Arabidopsis thaliana: one gene and its partners. The protein of the gene in region 3 purifies or fractionates together with the protein of the main gene of each other region. This does not show direct contact. Each region holds a gene or a part of one and is shown on either strand. Other genes may lie near its edges.

Evidence for each region.
Region 1: the proteins of PPC3 (region 3) and PDC3 fractionate together in Arabidopsis thaliana (co-fractionation; one large-scale study listed by BioGRID). This does not show direct contact.
Region 2: the proteins of PPC3 (region 3) and PDC2 fractionate together in Arabidopsis thaliana (co-fractionation; one large-scale study listed by BioGRID). This does not show direct contact.

Annotation. Positions count from the first base shown.
Region 1 is NC_003076.8:130,694-138,147, reverse strand, and holds PDC3 (pyruvate decarboxylase-3), read left to right. Parts: upstream 1-3,227; 5' UTR 3,228-3,340; coding exon 3,341-3,826; intron 3,827-3,891; coding exon 3,892-4,055; intron 4,056-4,128; coding exon 4,129-4,779; intron 4,780-5,051; coding exon 5,052-5,358; intron 5,359-5,439; coding exon 5,440-5,610; 3' UTR 5,611-5,884; downstream 5,885-7,454. Other genes in the region: AT5G01320 (Thiamine pyrophosphate dependent pyruvate decarboxylase family protein), read left to right, coding at 6,523-7,041, 7,128-7,291, 7,369-7,454.
Region 2 is NC_003076.8:22,308,983-22,316,064, forward strand, and holds PDC2 (pyruvate decarboxylase-2), read right to left. Parts: upstream 3,851-7,082; 5' UTR 3,700-3,850; coding exon 1,876-3,699; 3' UTR 1,571-1,875; downstream 1-1,570. Other genes in the region: AT5G54950 (Aconitase family protein), read right to left, coding at 850-906, 1,093-1,260; AT5G54970 (uncharacterized protein), read left to right, coding at 4,289-4,666; AT5G54980 (Uncharacterized protein family (UPF0497)), read left to right, coding at 6,817-7,034.
Region 3 is NC_003074.8:5,022,574-5,032,070, forward strand, and holds PPC3 (phosphoenolpyruvate carboxylase 3), read left to right. Parts: upstream 1-2,610; 5' UTR 2,611-2,793; intron 2,794-2,809; exon of another isoform or gene 2,810-2,966; 5' UTR 2,967-3,010; coding exon 3,011-3,178; intron 3,179-3,366; coding exon 3,367-3,761; intron 3,762-3,847; coding exon 3,848-3,932; intron 3,933-4,028; coding exon 4,029-4,251; intron 4,252-4,338; coding exon 4,339-4,442; intron 4,443-4,525; coding exon 4,526-4,616; intron 4,617-4,722; coding exon 4,723-4,877; intron 4,878-5,050; coding exon 5,051-6,052; intron 6,053-6,135; coding exon 6,136-6,522; intron 6,523-6,606; coding exon 6,607-6,903; 3' UTR 6,904-7,313; downstream 7,314-9,497. Other genes in the region: HEME1 (Uroporphyrinogen decarboxylase), read left to right, coding at 1-4; TTL2 (tetratricopetide-repeat thioredoxin-like 2), read right to left, coding at 7,643-7,795, 7,880-7,986, 8,069-8,273, 8,347-8,680, 8,767-8,951, 9,032-9,227, 9,307-9,497. UniProt on the Arabidopsis thaliana protein: Through the carboxylation of phosphoenolpyruvate (PEP) it forms oxaloacetate, a four-carbon dicarboxylic acid source for the tricarboxylic acid cycle.

The DNA.
Region 1 (7,454 bases), on a different chromosome or scaffold from region 3:
TAGTAGGCAGATCAGAGAGCTGATTGTCCCTCAAACAACCCTGAAAATCTTCCATACCACGAATATTGAAGGCTGACTGTGTGATAGAGTAATGCTCAGAAGAAGCTGCTATCTGATTGAAGTCCCCCAACAGCAACCAAGCGGTATGAGAGAGAGGGGAGGACCTAGACAAAACAGAAATATCCTCCCAAAGAGATCTCCTTTCAATATCATTATTCCTTCCATACACAAAAGCAACCGCAAAGGATTGAGATAAATTGGGCAGCTTTATCCTGCATAACATAAATTGATCTGTTTTCTTAAAAACCAAAACTGAGATGGAAGGATCCCAAACAATCCATATCCTCCCAAGATCAGAGCAACAGTAGTTGCTATCCATCCTCCAACCAGGAAGGGTTGAGGCCAAAACCGAGTTTGCATTCTCCTCTGCCACGTGAGTCTCCAAAAAACATCCGACAAGAAGATTATTAGAAGAAGGACCTTCATATACACAACAAAAGGTGAAGGTGAAAGCACAGCTTTCAATGAGAAGAAGGACCTTCAAGGTCCTTACTAGCAGCTAAATCAATAGAACCTGCCTCAGAAGAACGGAGACGATTATGCCACTTTTTGAGTTCTTTCTTCTTAGCCTTAGTAGACATGACTGTCCAACCCATAGGCAAGGGAAAACTGGGATCTGGATCTTTGATGGAGTCACGCATAGACCTCTTAGGTTGAGCAGCTTGTTGAATAGAACCAGAACCCTGAATTACTCCAACCTTGAGATCAGATGAGATCGTTCCTGGTTTTGCAACCCACCTTTTACTAGCCAAAGTCTGCGATGAAAGAGAAGACTGGGGAGAGAAAGGTAATAGAGGGTCAGTAATCCGTGGAGGAGAGCTAAGGGATCGCTTTTTTGATCTAGAGCGCCTCCTTTTTGATTTCGACAAAGGTATCTCAGCTGCAATAGGAGGAGAAAGGTCGACACCTCTAACTGAGTCACTACTTCCAGCTGCCGGAAGAATATTGGAGGAAGAGCCACCTCTTTGGCTCCTGAAGGAGAGTCCTTCTTAAATGGCAATTTTTTCTGAAGAGGGATGAGGCAACGACTCAATAAATGTCCGTATTTACCACAATTTAAACACTTCGGCGGAGGTCGAGGATACTCCACATCAACCCTAGCAGAATTACCCTGAACATCCTTTACAACAACAGAAGAAGGAAGAGGCAAGTCCAGCTTGATCACCACCTTAACTTTAGTTGAACCTATATTGATGGGGTCTAATCTTGATTTTTCTGTGTGAAGAGGAACCCCTATGGCACTAGCAATAACACTAATCCCTTCAAGCGAATAGAGCTGAGGAGGAACATTCTTCAATACAGCCCAGGTTGGAGCAGTCTTCAACTCATCAATATTAAGGAGACCTTCTGAAGACCAAGGGTAGACTGTACAAGAACAGTTACCAGCTTGCCAGAATCCCACATCCACCACCCATTGGCGAGTATTAAGAGCCGGAATAAAAATCAGAGCCACAGTCTCGGAGACGATGCGAACGGTAATATCACCGTAATTTCCCCAAATTGGATTCAAATCAGAGAAGATCCGGGTTGCAGGAGGACAAGAGCCATGAAATTGAGCTACGACATGGCCCTTCCACAAAGCAGCAGACTTCAACAAGACCGAGGAAGGAGCGATCACAACCGGAGTACCATCTTCCAAGTAAGTTGGCTGACTCATTTGCTTAAGGTTATGCAGTGAAGCCTTAAACTTAGCTACCCAAGGAAGATCAATTTTTGAATCGGAGCTGGGGGCCTGAGAGGAAGAGCCCGAAATAGGAGTCGAAGACTGAGGAATAGCAGATCCCAAAGAGAGAGACTTGGTAGCAACCATATCTGAGGAGCCAACAGGCCCTGAGCTCGGAGCTAAGAGAGGAGCTGAGCCAACTGAAGGAGTCAAAATGGGGGAACCAGCGGAGGAGATCTCGGACACTGATCCCAAGCCAACCGAGGAGGAAATTACAGTAGGCAGAGGCTGAATGGATGACCCATTCGCTTCAATAGCTACCAGAGGAGTAAGAGTAGACGACTTCGGGATGAGAGAAACAGTCTCCGAAATAACCTCGGGAGACAAGGAATTCTCTTCCAAGTCGAAAACCAGAGGAACAGGGAGAACCAGAGCCAAAGAGCCAGCGCAGGGAAGACCAGAGGAAGGAGGCGAAGCAGATCCGGAAGGAGCAGACGACGACAGGGGGACAGAGCCGGACTGAGCGCAAGCCAAAACCCGAGCGAACTTTGAACTGACAGGAAGGAGAGGGATCTTCTTTTTCTTCTTAGACATGACAAGATCTCAACCGGCGAGAAGCCGGCGACCAGCAACGCGGCGGCAGAAACGGAAAAACCCTAATCGCCTAAAAGTTGGTCACATTGTTTATGTACTCAAAATGAATGTTGGGAATATATTACCGGCGACTCTGTTGGTTTGAGATATTAACAATGATTCGAAGAGATAGTTTTCAAGGTAATCACTAAACACGTTAGAATGTCTGGCAAAAAAAAAATTTACACGTTGAAATATACATTGTTGTTTAACAACATGTTATTAACCCTTTTTTTTGGTTTTAATGTTATGAAAACATAACAACTTGTTCTCACGCGTTAACATGTGCTCCCACGTTAACACATTAATAATCCATTTAAATATTAATGAAATAGCAATGTTCCATCACCATGGAGACTTTTTGTTGTTCATGTGATACTTTATAATGAGCGTCGTAAGTTTACTAACATAGATAAGAGTGTAATTTATGAGAACAAGAACAATTTGTTCCCAAATCCCAAGTAACAGAATTAGTATGAATCGTTTAACTATATAAGAAGCAAGGAACAAAAAGACTCGCAATGTTGTTAAATATGGCCACATACACATGTGAAGTATTATGGTATGGGATCACGATGTAACTCTACCCTTGCGCGCATCACATGTAAATTATTGAATTCTAATAATTTATTTCAAGTTAATACAAGTCGTCTTGAACAATAATACAACTGATCAGTATATCTTTATAAACAATTAAAATATATTATTTTCGTTTCTTTGCACGTTGAATTAAATGTAAGTCCAGAGAGGAAAATCAGATGATTAATTCTGTATGTCTAATTGAACATTTTATAATATAATCGTATGCATTATTCGTATAAAAAACTATATAATTACTAAACAATTTTATTACGAAATAAACTGGTAGTGTTTTGAATCTACTACAACGCACAAACAACTATATAATCCAACAGCATTATACTGCTCACAAGAAAAACAAAGAGAGCTTCATCATCATATCCTAATTATTAAGCTCATTTTCCAATGGACGTCCGAAGTCTACCAAGCAACGGCGTCGCAACAATCCAAGACTCCGCTCCCACCGCCGCAACCATACTCGGCTCCTCTGCAGCGACTCTTGGACGTCACTTATCCCGCCGTCTTGTCCAAGCCGGAGTCACCGACATTTTCACTGTTCCCGGTGATTTCAACCTATCTCTGCTTGACCAGCTCATCGCCAACCCGGAGCTCAACAACATCGGGTGCTGTAACGAGCTAAACGCCGGTTACGCCGCCGATGGATACGCTCGATCTCGTGGAGTCGGTGCTTGCGTCGTGACTTTCACCGTTGGTGGACTCAGCGTTTTGAACGCTATCGCTGGTGCGTACAGTGAGAACCTACCAGTTATATGTATCGTTGGAGGTCCTAACTCCAACGATTTTGGCACTAACCGGATTCTTCATCACACCATTGGTTTACCTGATTTTAGCCAAGAGCTTAGGTGTTTCCAAACTGTTACTTGCTATCAGGTATAACCACATTATCGAATCTTGATCATCACATTCTTAGATTTTGACAGTGTGTTTGTTTTCAGGCTGTGGTGAACCATTTAGAGGATGCTCATGAACAGATCGACAAGGCGATAGCAACAGCTCTGAGAGAGAGCAAGCCTGTGTACATTAGCATCAGCTGTAACTTAGCTGCCATTCCTCATCCTACATTTGCTAGTTATCCTGTCCCTTTTGACCTAACTCCAAGGTAAATATAACTGATCAATCCTGTTCTCTTCAAGAATCAAGCTCAAAGATGTGTGGATTGTTTCTTAAATTAGGTTGAGCAACAAGGATTGTTTAGAAGCTGCCGTGGAAGCAACATTGGAGTTTCTAAACAAGGCCGTGAAGCCCGTTATGGTCGGTGGTCCCAAGTTGCGTGTGGCTAAAGCTAGGGATGCCTTTGTGGAGCTAGCTGATGCTTCAGGCTACCCCGTGGCAGTGATGCCATCTGCCAAAGGCTTTGTCCCAGAGAACCATCCTCATTTCATTGGCACTTACTGGGGAGCAGTGAGCACTCTTTTCTGCTCTGAGATTGTCGAGTCCGCGGATGCTTACATCTTCGCAGGTCCAATCTTCAACGACTACAGCTCCGTTGGTTACTCACTTCTCCTCAAGAAAGAAAAAGCCATCATTGTGCATCCTGATAGTGTCGTTGTGGCTAATGGTCCTACCTTTGGTTGCGTTCGGATGAGCGAATTCTTCAGGGAGTTGGCTAAGAGGGTGAAACCTAACAAGACGGCTTATGAGAACTACCATAGAATCTTTGTCCCTGAAGGTAAGCCTTTGAAATGCAAACCAAGAGAGCCTTTGAGAATCAACGCAATGTTCCAACACATTCAGAAGATGCTCTCTAATGAAACCGCTGTGATTGCTGAAACTGGTGATTCTTGGTTCAATTGTCAGAAACTTAAGCTGCCTAAAGGATGTGGGTACGTATCTAGAAAAAGGAAACTAAATCTTTTACCTTTTAACATTGTTGAAGCAGTCAATATAAGCTCATCTAGTAAAGTCAACATCTAGAAATTGCTGGTTAAAGAGTGGTGGTATATATGTACTTGGTTGGAAACGATATAAAATGCCTTGGTATTTAGCCTGAGATGATTTATGGGCCTATATAGATATCCCCAGAACTTTTTAGTAATTCTCTGGAAAAGAAAAAACACACAAGAGTTTTAAAAAGTCGTTGTTCTCTATATTGTAGGTACGAGTTTCAAATGCAGTATGGATCAATTGGTTGGTCTGTTGGTGCGACTCTAGGATACGCTCAAGCAACACCGGAGAAGAGAGTGTTGTCTTTCATTGGAGACGGAAGTTTCCAAGTGACGGCTCAGGACGTTTCCACAATGATTCGTAACGGACAGAAGACCATCATCTTCCTGATCAACAACGGTGGCTACACCATTGAAGTTGAGATTCATGATGGTCCTTACAATGTGATCAAGAATTGGAACTACACTGGTCTTGTCGATGCTATTCATAATGGTGAAGGCAAATGCTGGACCACAAAGGTAATTGATGTTTACAGTTGGAAATTAAACATATGAGTCCAGGGTTGAAGAGTAACATTATGAATGTTGTGTTTTTGGTAGGTGAGATACGAGGAGGAGTTAGTGGAAGCGATTAACACGGCGACATTGGAGAAGAAAGATAGTCTTTGTTTCATTGAAGTGATTGTTCACAAGGATGATACGAGCAAAGAGTTGCTTGAGTGGGGCTCTCGCGTCTCAGCTGCTAATGGTCGTCCTCCCAATCCTCAGTAGAAGCAAGAGAAAAGAAACGAATCTTGAGTGTCGCTCAAGCATCTATCGTTTATTGGCAATCTAATCACATCGCTACTTTTGTTCTTTCTCTTATGTCTAATTAAGTACTGGTTTCGATTTTTTGACCGCTGGTTTTAATTGATTTTGCTTTTAATATCCTTCATATTAGGGAACCCCTTGTTGACAAAGTTTTCATTATAAACTTCAATATTTCTGCTTTTTCTTAAACGTGAAATGAAAATTGTTGATGGAATCAGGATGGAATATTCTAATCTTATTAATGCCTTTACGTGCATGTAAATTATTGAGTTCCAATAATTATACTAACTTCTCAATATAAGGTAATAAAATTCTTGAACAATACGAATCTAGTATTTCTTTAGGTTCTTTTTCGTTTCTTTGGCAGCTACTTAATGTAAGTTATATCATAGTTAAGACGAAAATCAGAGACTTAATGCTGCATTAATGGTTCATCTTGGCAAACAAGTTCAAAGATACATATATAGTTAATAACAAAAATAAAATAAAAAATCCATGTTATACTCTAATATAGTTTGAAAATAAATTTATTTTCATCATCTTCTAACGTAAAATGTCTTTTCGTATCACAAAAAATTATAAATTTTTTAGTGCAAAATAAAACGTCCGTGTTTCGTGTATATAAGTATCAATTTATATAAGTAAATTTCTATCTGTAAAAAAGTAACTAAATGTAAGATGACAGCAAGAAAATTGCAAAAATATTTCAGTAAATCTTTATGCTTTTGGCACAAGGAAGTCAGAAACCGAATGTAATTTGCACTAATCAACATGTACAACTATATAACCCATCTAATAATTCCAATTTATTACTCATCATCACCACTAAAATAAATACTAAAAGGTTTCATTTTCTTCATAATAAGCTTTCCAATGGACACCAAAATTGGAGCCATCGACACGTGTAAGCCAACAACTGGTGACATCGGAAGTCCACCAAGCAACGCCGTCGCAACAATCCAAGACTCCGCTCCCATCACCACAACCTCCGAATCGACTCTAGGACGTCACTTATCCCGCCGTCTTGTCCAAGCCGGAGTCACCGATGTTTTCTCTGTTCCCGGTGATTTCAACCTAACTCTTCTCGACCACCTCATCGCCGAGCCAGAGCTCAACAACATCGGATGCTGTAACGAGCTTAACGCCGGTTACGCCGCCGATGGATACGCTCGATCTCGTGGAGTCGGTGCTTGCGTCGTGACTTTCACCGTTGGTGGACTCAGCGTTTTGAACGCTATCGCTGGTGCGTACAGTGAGAACCTACCAGTTATATGTATCGTTGGAGGTCCTAACTCCAACGATTTTGGCACTAACCGGATTCTTCATCACACCATCGGTTTACCTGACTTTAGCCAAGAGCTTAGGTGTTTCCAAACTGTTACTTGCTACCAGGTATTAACACATTTCAATATCAACTAGTCTTGATCATCACATATATATCTCCTTTGCTTAGATTTTAACTATGTGTTTGTTTTCAGGCTGTGGTGAACAATTTGGAGGATGCTCATGAACAGATCGACAAGGCGATAGCAACAGCTTTGAAAGAGAGCAAGCCTGTGTACATTAGCATCAGTTGCAACTTAGCTGCAACTCCTCATCCTACGTTTGCTCGTGATCCTGTCCCTTTTGACCTAACTCCTAGGTAATCATTACTCTAAACAGACTCATCGAATCAACGTTTGTTTTAGATTTCTCACTATTGTATGTATTGTTTCTTAGGATGAGCAACACGATGGGTTTAGAAGCTGCGGTGGAAGCAACATTGGAGTTTCTGAACAAGGCAGTGAAGCCAGTTATGGTTGGTG
Region 2 (7,082 bases), on a different chromosome or scaffold from region 3:
GATCAATTACTGGATCATGGATATATTCGAATTCAATCTCAATCCAAACCCTAAAGCTGACCAATAAAATGATTTGAGAGGAGACAATCCAAAATTTAGATCAAACTTCTCAAAACCATAACAATCAAGTAAATCAATTCGCTTTAATATGAGATTCGATAGTTTATGCAGAGATTATATCCAAATCACACATCAAAACCATAAGATAAGAAAAACAGAACGCAAAATCATACCAATCCGATTCGAAAACGAAACAACGAACAAAGAGAAAGCTTCAAAACCCTAAATCGAATTAAAACTAGAGAGCAATCAATCAAACAGAGAACAACAAACAACGAAACGATCAAATCTACAAAAGAAAGAACAAATCGTACCTGAAGGTTTTGTTCGATGGAGTCTTTGGAGTTTTTGTTAATTCAATTGATGAAGAAGAAAGCTTAAGGAAGGTTTTGTATTTATAGACCTTTTTTTTTTACCATAGATCTTCTTTTTATGGCGGCTAAATCTTAGCCGTAGATCTATTATTTTCTAGACACGTGGATGGATAAGTTCGAATTAGTGACCAAGTGGGGAAGGTTTCACGTTTAGAATAACTGGTGTGAGACGCAGAGAATAATTATCTATTTTCTTTGCGTATAATGGACGCGCAACTCTCATATCCGTGTAGGCCCATTAAGAGCATTTATTAAAAGAAAGATAATAAGAGCCACAAGTGGGTCCAATAACAACACTTGCGAGAAGAATCTCGAAGTCAATATGATTTCGTATTTTATTCGATATCTGTGGTTGTCTGACAAAAGAAGAGACGTCTTATTGCAGATTGTTCTGATACATTATGTTGAAAACGTTTTACACATTGTCACTCACCGAATTTACTTGCTTTTTGATGAAGCAAAGAACCCAAATCTAGATCAAGCGAGGAGATGTTTTTAAATCAAAATCACTCACTCGTTGCTCAAACTTCGAATGATATACGAAAGCATACCGCCATGATTATAGTATGTTAGTTCCACTTGATCAATTCCAATCAACCAAGTCAGACCATTAAATATATGGTGACAATCAAATCTAAACAAAAGCTTTTGTGATTACCTCTGTGTCTAACCGCAAAGTGCAGACAAAAGATTTAGCAGTGTCAGTAGTCACAGTTATGTCCTGGCCTGGTTTTATCTCATTGATATTACTAGGAAGGTGGATTGTGTAGAGTTCATGGCCAGTTAGTCCAAGGGTTTCTGCATCTTCACCGGACTTGAAGGCCATTAACCCCAATTCCTGTCGAATTCAAGCTGCATCACAAATTTGGACAGGTTTCTCTATGCAGAAATTTAGGGGAGTTACTATGGAATAAGCTATTTAATCCTACTTAAGTCATAAATTATGGCCAACAGCGAAAGATTCGTCACATTACAACAGCATAGCGATGAAGTCGTTTTGTAAACCAGTGGATCACTCCCAAGACGCCTCACTGCATTCCTCATAGAAACAAGATCAAATTTAGCCATGAACCAAAAAAACAGAAAGCAAGAAAAGGTAAAACAAAAGTTAGTATAAATTGGGAAAAGAAAGGACTCTACCAACTGCCTTTAAAGTAATCATTTGGCATCTTGGGATGGGATCTCAACTTTCTTAAGTCAATCAACATACCAATCCAAGACACAAAGACTATAGCTCTGATAAATCTGCGTAAAACTGAGGACGAAAGATGAAGCAGAGGAAACAAGTTCTTATTTAGGCACTCAAACAGTTTATATCCTCAAGGGGACACACATTTTTTTCCCATCCAGATGGGTGTAAAAGGATCCACACTACTTTACATAGAACGGTGAAGACACTACCAAATCTGAAATATATATAAGTTGAGTGCATTTATATACTCTACTGCGGATTTGGGGGACGACTATTAGCAGCAGAGACTCTAGAGCCCCACTCCAAAAGTTCCTTGCTTGTATCGTCTTTGTGCACTATCACTTCAATGAAACAAAAGCTCTCTTTTTCCTCATTGGTTGCCGTGTTGATTGCTTTCACTAACTCCTCCTCGCATCTCACCTTGGCAGTCCAGCATTTTCCTTCTCCATTGTGTATGGCCTCAACAAAAGCTGTGTAGTTCCAGTTCTTTATGACATTGTAAGGACCATCGTGAATTTCCACCTCAATGGTGTAGCCTCCGTTGTTGATGAGGAAGATTATGGTCTTTTGCCCACACCGTATCATCGTAGATACATCCTGTGCGGTTACCTGGAAACTACCATCTCCAATACAAGCAATGACACGCCTGTTTGGCATGGCTTGAGCATAGCCTAGAGTAGCACCCACTGACCAGCCAATTGATCCGTACTGCATTTGGAATTCGTAACCGCATCCTTCAGGGAGCTTCAGCTTCTGACAGTTGAACCAGGAATCTCCTGTCTCAGCAAGCACAGCAGACTCAGAAGAGAGCATATTCTGAATGTGTTGGAACAGTACATTAACCCTCAAAGACTCATTCGGGTTATCTCTCAAAGGCTTTCCTTCTGGGACATAGATCCTGTGATAATTCTCATAAGAAGTGTTGTTGTGCTTAATTCGTTTAGCCAACTCGCTTAGAAAATCCTTCATAAGAACACATCCAAACGCAGGTCCGTTACCGATAGTAACCCGATCAGGCTGAACGATGATTGCCTTCTCCTTCTTGAGAAGCAGAGAATACCCAACAGAACTGTAATCGTTGAAAATCGGACCTGCAAACAGATAAGCATCCGCAGATTCAACGATTTCAGCACAAAAAGCTGTACTCACAGCTCCCCAATACGTCCCTATAAAATGCTTGTGATGCTCAGGTACTTGTCCTTTAGCAGAAGGCATCACAGCAAGACCATAGCCAGAAGCATCAGCAAGCTCAACAAAAGCATCCGCGGCTTTCGCAACCCGCATTTTCGGCCCACCAACAAGAACTGGCTTCACAGCTTTGTTCAAGAACTCAGCAGCTGCCTCCACCGCCGCATCTAAACCAATCTGATTGCTAACCTTCATCGGAAGCATGAACGGAACAGGATGACGACTAAACGTCGGAAGAGGAATCGCCGGTAAATTACAGCTGATACTGATATAAACAGGTTTGCTTTCTTTCAAAGCAGTTGAAATCGCAGTATCGATAAGTTCATGAGCCTCTTCTAAGTTATTAATCACAGCTTGAAAACAAGTAACAGCTTGAAAACACCTAAGCTCTTGAGTGAAATCAGGTAAACCAATTGTATGATGAAGAATCCTATTGGTACCGTAATCGTTGGAGTTTGGACCACCGACGATGCAAATCAGAGGCAGATTCTCACTGTAAGCACCGGCGATCGCATTCAGAACACTCAATCCACCGACGGTGAACGTAACGACGCACGCACCAACACCGCGAGATCTAGCGTAACCGTCAGCAGCGTATCCGGCGTTAAGCTCGTTGCAGCAACCGATCAGCTTGAGGTTTGGTTCGGCGATTAGGTGATCGAGAAGCGTCAGGTTGAAATCACCAGGAACGGAGAAGACATCGGTGACGCCGATTTCGACTAACCGTCTTGCTAGGTAACGGCCAAGAGTCGCGTCGCAGGGGCTGACGGTGGTGGAGTGAAGTGGACTTGTGTTTTGAACGGTGGAGACTCCGCCGTTTGGAGGACCGCCGATATCGTGGTTGGTCGGGTTACACGCGTCGATAGATCCGATCTTAGTGTCCATAGTGGTAACGTTCGTTTCAGAATTTTCGAACAATAGAGCTATGAGAAAATTGGAGAGAGCTCGAGGTAAAAGTACAGTTTGAAATATGAGATTAGTGGAAGATACTTAATTATAGACGTAAAACAACGGTGGCTAAAGTAATCAAACGGTGGTATGAAATAGGCGGCTAATAAGATATTTTTAGCCGCAGATATTTATGTGTCTCTGAGATTGACACGTGTCCTTATATAGTTGGATATTGGAGAACAAGTTAGAAAGTTCACGTTGAGAATAGTTGTGAGTCCGCAGAGAATAATTGCTCTCATGCGCAGCCCACAAGGGCATCATAGGACCCGATTGGATATAGGATCCGACCCGGTTCGTGTCAATACCACGTGACTCAAAAAGAAACTCCCGCTCTTGGCGACTTTTCGAAACCCTAAAGAGACTCGTATTTCCCCCCTAACGCCGATTTTCCCGCCGCTCTCACTCAATTACAAAAATCCGTAGATCCCCAATCTCCAATCACATATCTCCCACAATCTCTTTCTCGCTCTCTCGATCATCAGATTCTTCAATCTCTTTCACCAAGCTTAACCAAATCGTTACCATGAAGGATATCTCTAAATCTCCGGCGAGAAGAAGCGACGGATTCCACCGCTACTTAAAACCAGGAGCGCTTGCTCAGATCCGAAACTCGAGAATCAACGCTAGATCTACTACATCTCTCGTATCTCGCTCCTCCCTCTCGCAGCTAGTAGATCCGATTTCACCATCTGAGAACTCGGTTGATGAAGCAGCAGCGGCTTCGCGGAATCTGACGATAGATCAGGTACCACATCTTCTAAGAAAGATCTATGGTCCTTACAGTTATCAGAGGAAGAAATTAGCCGCTGCTAGATCTGTCTCGTCGATGATGATGATGAATATCAATCCTCCTATAAACTCAGTTCTTGTTGAACCCAGTAGTGATGTTATTGCTCATTGAGTTAAACTAGTTTCTACCAAATCTGTAATCTGATGATACAATTCGGGTAAAATGTTTAATACTATCATAAGACTCACTATATGAATCATTAAATTATCAATAAATTGTGTGTTTTCAATTGATGAGTTTATCTTTGTTAATTTAATGTTTGTGTTGATTTGATATCTTACGATTTGGATTTGACTATAGATTCCTTCACTACATATTAATGAACACTTACATGAGTATCATTTTGGGATTCTTAATGATGTATATGTAACTCTTAAGTGTTGTAACTGTTTTGAAAGATTAGCCAAACACTTAAAGATTCGAAGAGTAATGATATAAGACTACATATATTTTTCTCAAATTTGTTATCATCTTGTTAGATTGTAATTGACATAGGCTATGTTACCTCAGTCAATTCTCTGCTTTGCTTAATCTAAACATCTCAAATCTATAGGTTTTGATTATCTCTCTGTTTGTTGTGATGGGTAAAAATGTTTGCCTTCTGCTATTATCAGACGCTATTGTCTCAGACCAAATGGTTACCTATGTTTGTCGATGGGTGTTAACAGATTTCATTTGCTTGGTGGTATTACCGCATATGGAACATTGGTCTTGGTTTATTTAGTCTCATCATTCGATGTTAATAAGTTTTATCTATATGCTTTCTTTCATTTGTTCTAATGGGTAATGATGGTTATCTATATGTTGCCTTTAGCAAACGTCGCTGCCCATATGGTTGAACTTGAATCCTGATCCAACTGAACCTCTTTACCCTCTGATTATGCAATCGGTTATTAATTGATGTTGATATCCCCAAGTACATATGTATGTTATATGTAAGAGACCATTCATAACTTTCACTTTCTACCCTTCAAAGTTTTATTTAACTCTCTTCATTGTCAAATCCTTCATCTTTACTACTTTTTCAATATCTCCCCATTATGTATAAATTTAATGCATCAAGTACTACAACTATTCCACATGTGCATTGATAAATCAACCTCAAAATAGAGGTAAAAGAGAGAGAGAACCACTTTTTTGAAAGGAGTGGAATTGTTCTCGTATCACGAGATTACATAAACGTGAGTCGTCCAAACTACTAGATTCGAATAAACCAACCAAATCACAAATTGTTTCTTTTAAAATAATGAAACATGATGTGAAAACACAACTCGTAGCCTATTTGATATTGTTTTCGTTCATGTTTTGTCGACGTAGACCCATATATCTTAGTAGGTTTTGAAATAAACCAAACTGAGCCCCAACTAAAGCTACTAAACCACGGTCGATAGAACCAAACCGACGTAAATTCAAAGCTATAAACTCAAACCGAATTATAAAATATGAAGTTATGTTTGATTTTGATATTTTTCTCACTGAATCAAACCTAAACTTAAACCAAAATGGCGAAATCTGAAAACCCAATGTAAATGCAGACTCCCTATGGTCGATTAATTTTGTTGTTGCAGAATTCTTTAGAAGTATGATGTGACATCACCTTGACTAATGCTAATGTCATCACTTAATGTAAAGAACGTACTAATATTTAGCAACGATTTTAAAAATAATAAGCATCTCAATACTTAAGATTATCTCAAGTAAAACTAATAATCCAAAGCCATGATGATTCATATGAAGCCCACTGCCCACCAAGGCAAGCCAAATGTCGATCTCTCTCGCTACCAGCAACCACCGCACTTGCCTCGTCCATGTCACTTCCACAACCATAAATTTTTTTGGTGCCACTCGAAATAAAATAAAAATATAAAATTTATCAAAATCATTAACGATTTAAAGCAAAATTCTAACTTTAATAAGATAAAGCTACAATCCGGAGATGGTGAAAAAACTTTAATCCATATTCACATTGTAAGTTTTTCTATGGAAAATCACTTCTTCTTTTTTTCCACGCGGTTTCAAAGGTTAATCATAAAAAGAGTAGAAGTTAAAGGAACTTTTTTGTATCTATTATAGTTTGTTTTTATATGTATTGTGACCACAAACACATATATCTACATATTTATTTTATATATAAAGAGATAGATAATCTAACTGAGAAATCCACTTGAAGCTATTCAACAATTTTTATAGCTTTCTTCCTCTCCAAAACCACACCAAAAAAAAAAAAAAAAAATTTGATTTTCAGATCCAATCAACCAGAGATGAGAGATAACAACAATAACAACACAAGAGAAGAAGAGAGAAGCAGTTCTTCAAAGCAGCAACAACCACAAGCTCCTATGTCTTTGAAGATCATAGATTCATGTCTCAGACTAAGTGTGGTTCCTCTCAGTGTTGCAACCATCTGGTTAACTGTCACTAACCACGAATCCAACCCGGACTACGGCAATTTAGAGTACAACTCCATCATGGGTCTCAAGTAAACATATACTCTTTACTTTCTTTCAACTTTTTAGTAAGTATTTTA
Region 3 (9,497 bases):
CTGAGAAATGGTGACTAGACAAGTGCCTACGCCGAAGAATTTGCTGTTTAAGTTTTGTGAACATATGTCTGAATCTCTTAAACTTGGTGCAGGAATGAGAGAAAAAGTTCCATGTCTGACCCTTAATCGATGCTAGAGTTGGTAACTTGCTATGAGATATATGCGAAGCTGTCCAGTTTTTGTTTGGCTTGCTTGAGGATTTCCAATCTTCTGGACCAAGCTCTGCTTAACGTTTAACAATGTATTGAGTTGCTCCTAGGCTTCAAATGTTGCTGCTTCTTTTGGAGATATGACTCTGGTTAAAGTTTAACCAAACATTCATTTATCTGGTTAATCTCAAACCTTTGCTATGTTTGTTATCCCACTTTTTTCATATGGTTCTTTCTAGATCTCTGTATCTGGTGTGTCTTCTCTCGTGATCTCAACATTCGATGTGAAACCAGGTAGATTGTAATATTGTATCATAGACTGCAAAAGATAACGCAAAAGAGAAGTCTCTGATCTCAACCTGAATCAGACTTGTTAGGAGTCCCTCTTGTTTGGTTTAATTCAATTTTCCGGTTCGGATTTCTGGATTATAAACCGAATTAACTACAAACGGAAAAACGTACCGCGTTATTGCGGTAACCAGCAACTTTAATTGGCCTATAGTAGAATCAAATGAAAAGAAAAGAGCAATTTTTTTTTTTTTTTTTTGGTTTTTTGGTTAAAGAAGAAAAGAGCAAATTGGAAAAACAAATAGATAAGATAATTTATATGATTTAAAAGTCAAATGTAATCACAACATATAAATTTTAACTTATAAAATATAGTCACACCATTGCCTCATCGTATTTGCTTTCATGAATCATCCCACCACTTGTAAGCTTTATTTTATTAAGAATGAAAACGGAGAAATATAAATTGAACACTATATACTATTGTCGTCACCCTCCCCGAATGTTTCTGATAAATAATGTTAACTATCATCTAATACGTCAACCGGATTATCACCGACACTGACCCCACACCTAACCACTGATGCACAAGTTTATATTAGTGTAGGTATCATCCACAATATATTATCCAATAATTGAACCTTGTTAATGTCTTTGGTTCATAAAGCGATCTATAATCAATTCAGCATTATTGCTAAAATTCAAATTAAGAAGACGGCATGATTTGTTAAAACCATAAAGAAATACAAAAGGGTCAATGATAAAACTGTTTAAACGAATCAGTCTACCCAAGAGCCGTCTCTCGAATACTAGTTTTAAATTCATAAGCGTATAGAGTTTAGTGATTCCAGAACACTTTACAGGCCAAAATCTAATATTTCGATATTTTGAAACGACATTTTTAGTCCTATAATTAAATTTGCAACGTATTAGATTACTTTTAAAATGTGATACTGCGAAGAAAATGAATCAAAAGATTGAATCGAATATTCGAACAGACGGACAAGAACCCACGAAGCGATACAGATCAGAAACTCTGCTTCTTTTTTTAACAAGAGATCACAAACTTGGTTGACTTGAGTTCATATTATAATGACGTACTCAGTGATTCGAATATTCCATAAATAGTCGTAAGAATAAAGACCTTAATGTATACATTGTTCATTTCGTATGCCACATTGACGAAGATCACTGATATAAATTTCAATTATATAAATGTAAAATAACAAAACAAAAAGTTACATGTTATCAAATAGTGTCATTAGCTAAATAACATGTTACTTGGCCACCACATCACTTTTGTTGAGAAATTTCTAAAATTTGGCTATTTAGTGCATATACCCTTTAAAACTTGTTGTAAAAGCAAGGAAGAGGAAAAAAGATTGAACCTATAGCAAAGGAAAAAGAAAAGAGAGTACATATTCTTAAGTCTTGATTACAATATTTTGTTCTTCAACATATTCTCTTAGAGTTGAGATAACATAAATTATAATATAGATGCTCTATTGGGTAGCAGTAGATAGAAGAACATATGCTGAAAATCATTTTTATAGATCTAGCAAATCACCTTTATAAAGGATCCAGATTTTTTTTTTTTTAACTTTTTGAAAGTCAACTTGATCATATGTGAAAGTTAGAGTCAGAGATTTATGCATCTTCGTGCATAGACAAAATGCATGCACGAGCTCACACGATCCTGTTTTTTTTTCTTAATGAGGTAATTTTCTTGCTGTCATTTTTTTTTCTAAAGTTAAGATTCATATAAAAACCATATCAGGTAATTCCTTAATTTTGTGTAATAATTAAGAAATCAGGATCATTAGATCTTTGACCACCAAAACTCAAATTTGTTCCCAAATACACTCAGTTAAAGTACTATCTTTAATCATTTCATATTCGTTACTTTGTAAATTAGTACAAAGTAAGTAACAAATTTTAGTTTACCCAATGAAATGGAATGAAGTTAATGAAAATATTCGTTCTTTTAGAATATTCTTCTGCTCTTGACAGTGTTTAATTATTTAATTTTCTTACTTGAAAAAATAAAATTGACCAACAATTATTTTTCTTACCTCATGTAGATAACTTACAAAATAAAACATATATATATGTATATATATATTTATTTTCAACTCAGAAATAAATAATTCTAACGAAAAAATATGAAATAATAAAAAAATCTGACTTAAAAAGCGCGCATCGCTCATGCCAACACACTCCCTCGTCTATAAATACTTCACTCTGCTTTCCTCAATCACATCCATCTCTGAATCTGATTCCACATCTTAAACCCTTATTCCCTAAACATCGAATTTGGTTCCTTCTCCCACAATCCGCAGAGATTTCTTCTTTTCAGGTTTGTCAATTCATTTTTTTTTTCAGTTTGAGTTTTGTTTTGTTTTTTCGTGATTTTCGGTCAGTCTACCAAATCCCCTGTTTTTCCGGCGATTCAGTTGTCAACAGATTTTGCTTTTCTTTTTCCCTTTTTGTGTAAAAAAACTCATTTCCTTTTTGATCTGATGATTACAGAAGAAGTAAGAGGGTGGCGAAGAAGATTTGATTGATCGGCGATAATGGCGGGTCGGAACATAGAGAAGATGGCATCTATTGATGCTCAGCTTCGGCAACTCGTTCCTGCTAAAGTCAGTGAAGACGATAAGCTTGTTGAGTACGATGCTCTTCTCCTTGATCGCTTTCTCGACATTCTCCAGGATTTACACGGCGAGGATCTCCGTGAAACGGTACACATCCTTCTTCTTTGGATTGAATCGATACCCATTTGCTAGAGATCCTAAAAATCTCATCTTTTTGTTTCGATTAGTGATTTTAAGTTTACCCGATTATTTAACCTACGTGTTAGTTATGTATAAAGGATGGAACTTTTTTGTTTAGATTCATTTATGTATTGATAAAATGATCTTGTGCACAGGTTCAAGAGTTATACGAGCTTTCTGCTGAGTATGAAGGGAAGCGTGAGCCTAGCAAGCTTGAGGAGCTAGGGAGTGTCCTAACGAGTTTGGATCCTGGTGACTCAATTGTTATCTCCAAGGCTTTCTCTCACATGCTTAACTTAGCCAATTTGGCTGAGGAGGTGCAGATTGCTCACCGTCGCAGGATCAAGAAGCTGAAGAAAGGTGATTTCGTTGATGAGAGTTCTGCAACTACTGAATCCGATATTGAAGAGACTTTTAAGAGGCTCGTTTCGGATCTTGGTAAGTCTCCTGAAGAGATCTTTGATGCCTTGAAGAATCAGACTGTGGATCTGGTTTTGACTGCTCATCCTACTCAGTCTGTGCGTAGATCATTGCTTCAGAAGCATGGGAGGTTAGTTTTTGACTTAGTTGTTTTCTGGAGAGAGTGAGAAAACTCTGTTTGCTTGTGTGTTGACCTGACATTAAATGTTTTCTCAGGATAAGGGACTGTCTTGCTCAACTCTATGCAAAGGACATTACTCCTGATGACAAGCAGGAGCTAGATGAGTCTCTGCAAAGAGAGGTAAGAACTCAACCTCACTGGATTGTAACATGTTGATTTGATATAATCCTCGGATAATAGATAGATTGGCCTTTGAAACTCTCCTTTTTTGTTTAGATTCAAGCTGCATTCCGAACAGATGAGATTAGAAGAACACCTCCAACCCCACAAGATGAAATGAGAGCTGGAATGAGTTATTTCCACGAGACAATCTGGAAAGGTGTCCCCAAGTTCTTGCGCCGTGTGGACACAGCTCTGAAAAACATTGGGATTGATGAACGTGTTCCTTACAATGCCCCATTGATTCAATTCTCTTCGTGGATGGGCGGTGATCGTGATGGTACATGCGTTTTTTTGGATTACTGGCAAACGAATCACTCTCTTGTTTTCTCTTGTTCACCCTCTAATCGTCGTATCTGAATTTCAGGTAATCCGAGGGTCACACCTGAGGTCACTAGAGATGTGTGCTTGTTGGCTAGAATGATGGCTGCCAATCTCTACTATAACCAAATCGAGAATCTGATGTTTGAGGTTTTTATCTCTTTTTACTTGTACTCATTTCCCGGTTTTCATTCTTTAAGATTCTCTTGATTCATTCGTGTTCTTCTTGGCAGTTATCTATGTGGCGTTGCACTGATGAATTCCGTGTGCGGGCGGATGAACTGCACAGGAACTCAAGGAAAGATGCTGCAAAACATTACATAGGTTAGAAGCTTTGGACATTTTCTTCTTAAAAGAAACACATACTGCAAGTATACAATGGTATTGGTTTTGCATTCTTAACTTATTTTTTTTCTTTAACTCAATGCAGAATTCTGGAAGACAATTCCTCCAACTGAGCCATACCGTGTGATTCTTGGTGATGTGAGGGATAAGCTGTATCACACACGTGAGCGTTCCCGCCAATTGCTGAGTAATGGAATCTCGGATATTCCTGAAGAAGCTACCTTCACTAATGTGGAACAGGTGAGCAACCTCTATACTCTGAATTTGTTCCTTACTAAATTGTTTCCTGATTTTAACAACTTGTTAGTTCTTGCCATTAGAGTTTCTATCATTATCCAGCCTTACACTTGTTTCCCTCAATAATATTCACGGAATTCAATTGTGTTTACTGTTCTTTTATTCTATTTATGCAGTTCTTGGAGCCTCTTGAGCTCTGTTACCGATCACTATGTTCATGTGGTGACAGCCCGATAGCTGATGGAAGCCTTCTTGATTTCTTGAGGCAAGTCTCTACCTTTGGACTCTCCCTTGTGAGACTTGACATCAGGCAAGAGTCTGAACGCCACACAGATGTCTTGGATGCTATCACCAAGCACTTGGACATCGGTTCCTCCTATAGAGACTGGTCTGAAGAAGGCCGACAGGAATGGCTTCTTGCTGAACTAAGCGGCAAACGTCCACTTTTCGGACCTGATCTTCCCAAAACCGAAGAAATTTCTGATGTCCTGGACACATTCAAAGTCATATCTGAGCTGCCTTCAGATTGTTTTGGAGCTTATATTATCTCTATGGCAACTTCACCTAGTGATGTGCTTGCGGTTGAGCTTTTACAGCGCGAATGCCATGTGAAAAATCCACTTAGAGTTGTTCCACTCTTTGAGAAGCTAGCTGATCTTGAAGCAGCTCCTGCCGCTGTTGCAAGACTCTTTTCTATAGACTGGTACAAAAACCGTATTAACGGTAAACAAGAGGTTATGATTGGTTACTCAGATTCAGGGAAAGATGCAGGGCGTCTCTCAGCTGCTTGGGAGCTATACAAAGCTCAAGAAGAGCTTGTGAAGGTTGCTAAGAAATATGGAGTGAAGCTAACTATGTTCCATGGCCGTGGTGGCACAGTCGGAAGAGGAGGTGGTCCTACTCATCTTGCTATATTGTCTCAGCCACCAGATACAGTTAATGGCTCTCTTCGAGTCACGGTTCAGGGTGAAGTCATTGAGCAATCATTTGGGGAGGCACACTTATGCTTTAGAACACTTCAACGTTTCACAGCAGCTACTCTAGAGCACGGAATGAACCCTCCGATTTCACCAAAACCCGAGTGGCGTGCTTTGCTTGATGAAATGGCGGTTGTTGCAACTGAGGAATACCGATCTGTCGTTTTCCAAGAACCTCGATTCGTCGAGTATTTCCGCCTCGTAAGTATTCATTCATATCAATCCAAATTTCACCAAAGTTTTTGTGTGTTTTAAGTACCTAAAACCGTTGGTTTGGTTTGCAGGCTACTCCGGAGCTGGAGTATGGACGTATGAATATTGGAAGTAGACCTTCAAAGCGAAAACCAAGCGGTGGGATCGAATCTCTCCGTGCAATCCCATGGATCTTTGCTTGGACGCAAACAAGATTCCATCTTCCTGTATGGTTAGGTTTCGGAGCAGCATTTAGGTATGCGATCAAGAAGGATGTGAGAAACCTTCACATGCTGCAAGATATGTATAAACAATGGCCCTTTTTCCGAGTCACCATCGATCTAATTGAAATGGTGTTCGCCAAGGGAGACCCCGGGATCGCTGCTTTGTACGACAAACTTCTTGTCTCAGAAGATTTATGGGCTTTTGGAGAGAAACTCAGAGCCAACTTTGATGAAACCAAGAACCTCGTCCTCCAGGTATAACATAACAAAAAACAGGGTCCTCTGTTTCATATTTGTTGGGTTTGTTCTTGCAATAACACTAAACTTGCGTTGTTGCAGACTGCTGGACATAAAGACCTTCTTGAAGGAGATCCTTACTTGAAACAGAGACTAAGGCTACGTGACTCTTACATTACGACCCTCAACGTTTGCCAAGCCTACACATTGAAGAGGATCCGTGATGCAAACTACAATGTGACTCTGCGACCACACATTTCTAAAGAGATCATGCAATCAAGCAAATCAGCACAAGAGCTCGTCAAGCTTAACCCCACGAGTGAATACGCGCCTGGACTTGAGGACACACTTATCTTAACCATGAAGGGTATTGCTGCAGGATTGCAAAACACCGGTTAAGTGAGTCAGTGAAAGAAAACAAAACTTCGAATCTCTCTTTTTTATCTACCCTTTTTAATAATCTCTTTTTTTCTAGAATCCAAAATAATTACGGTTGGATTACAGTTTACTTTATGTATCCACCGTTGAAATCTTAATCTTCCATTGTATCAAACGTCACTGACTCTGTTTCTGGAAGTGTAAACAAGAACAGAGACAGTGAATCTTAATGTTATCTTCTTTGTCTTTTTCTTTCTGGTCTCTGTCTCAGAATCGTTTACATTTGTTAATACGTTTAAATTGCACGTCGTCTAAAGTCTGACTGTGGTCCCTGAAACATGTTAATAGAACTATGCCGTTAAAGAAGGGAGGTGCTTTGAGGAAACGACACCATTTTTTGTTTTGCTGTTTAAGACACATGGCTCGCATTTGGTCTGCATGTATTATAGCGTACAGTTCTCACTGTAACACTGCTTAAGACTTAATTCCACCCTAGTGTTAATCAAAGAGACAAAGAATACGTAGACAAAGACTTTTTTTATTGATGGAAAAATGTTTTGACAACATGAATGAATGGTTTTCTCTCTGCTTATTTTATATGGTTTCACCACCTAGGTAGCCAAAATCTGCTCTATTTACACATTACTAATCTCTCTCTTTCAATTTCTAAATCTAACAGAGCAATAAATGAATCAAATCAGATTACTGACAAGTTCTCCCCTTTTTTTTGTTTTTGTGAATATTAAGTGTTTTGAGTTTGCTAAAGGCCATAGTGCCTCACTGTTTTCTCCAGCGCTTCCTTGCTTGGACACACAATCTCTTTCATCCGAATCCCAAGTTTGTATATCTTAAATGTTGGCACAACTCTCACTCTTTCTGCATTACCCACTTCTGGACATTTTACAATCTCCACCTGTTGAAAGACAATTTCACAAGTAAGTTTACTTGTTCTTTGGTTTACATATAAACAGTTGTTTCAAAGTTTTTGTTTTTTCACCTTGAGGAAATGCAAAGATGGGTAACGAACACATAGTGCGTCCACGAAAGTGGATATCTCCTTGCATTGTGGATCAGAAGCTCTAAAAAAGTGTACAACTGAAACTCCTGCCAATGAAGTATATGTACAACAAGTTAATAATGAAAGTTCACTGACTATAAGAGCATAGAAGATTAAGATATCACTTACCAGGACGAGTTAATGCAGCTTTTAACTCTTCAAGACTAGATATTTCCTCAACTTCACCTCCAAATTCCATGTTTAGAACTACTTCGCCGCGAGATTTCTTTAATGCAACTTGAGCATGAAATAAAGATTCAGCAATTTCCTTGTCATAAGGCAGTTCCTTTCTTAAGATCTCATAATCACTCACTGCTTCAGCCCATCTTTCCAACTACAGTTTCATCAAAAAGAAACTTAGCGCAAGTGAAATGCAAAACTAAGTCATCATACCATATATATTTTACCTTGGTATATAAAGCAGCTCTTTGAAGACGAGGCTTTGTGTAACTCGGTAGTATAAGCAATGCATGGTTACAATCTTCTATTGAGCTCTCCCACATTCCAACCTTAAAGAAACAATCTGCTCTGTAACATAACAGAGTAGCATTGGATGGATCATACTTAAGGCCTTCTGCATAAGCTGATCTTGCTTCAGTGTATCTTTCTAGTTCATAAAGATCGTTACCACGATCACGCGCTCTAGTTATTAATCTAACATTTTTATACAAAATTTCAACTTCATTGTTTTGTGGATCAATCTTTGAAGCTTTCTCTGCAGTTACAACTGCATTTTCAAACCTGCAAGAATTCATCATCTTCACTCCTTTTACCAATATGACATCACAATAAAACAATAATCAATCAACATGTGTATAATTTTTCACCTTCCTAGAGCCAACTCCATTTGGGATTTGACAAAAGATGTGTAAGCTTCAGCGATCATATCGAAAAACCGAGTATGTGAGAAAGAAGCTGGGAATGGTTCCACTTTGGGGACACATTCTAGTACTCTTTGAGCATCATCAAGCCGAAGAAGTTTCAGTAGTGCTTCAGCTTTACACATAGCTAGCTACAAAATTTTTATATATGTAAAACACTTCATTTATTCATAAAGTAACACAAATCAACACAAGAATCTTTGTTCTTTACCTGAGGAGAAGAATCAGCTCCAGACGCAATGGCTGCACTTACTTCAGTCAAAACAATACTCCATTCACCGCGTCTTCTTGCATATGTGCATTTGTTCAAGTGTTTATCTACTTGTTGAAGCATCTTCACCACCGTTGGATCTAATGGTTCCTCCACTGAATATAAATGTATCCCTGCATTATCCACATAACCTAATCTGCAAACCAAGTAAAGACCAAACTGATTATAGATATCTTTTCTCGACCAACATTCTATAATAAAGATTTTGATGTTACCTAAGAAGCAATGAGGCTAAACGGTGATGAGCCCTTGCAAAGTTTGGATCTAATTTGATAGCTATTTCACATTCATTCACAGCTTCACCAATCTGACCCAAACTCGACAATGCAGCTGCACGGTTGCTATGGTAAGTAGCATTACTCGGTGATAGCTCTATTGCTCGATCATACAACTTCAAAGCCTCAGC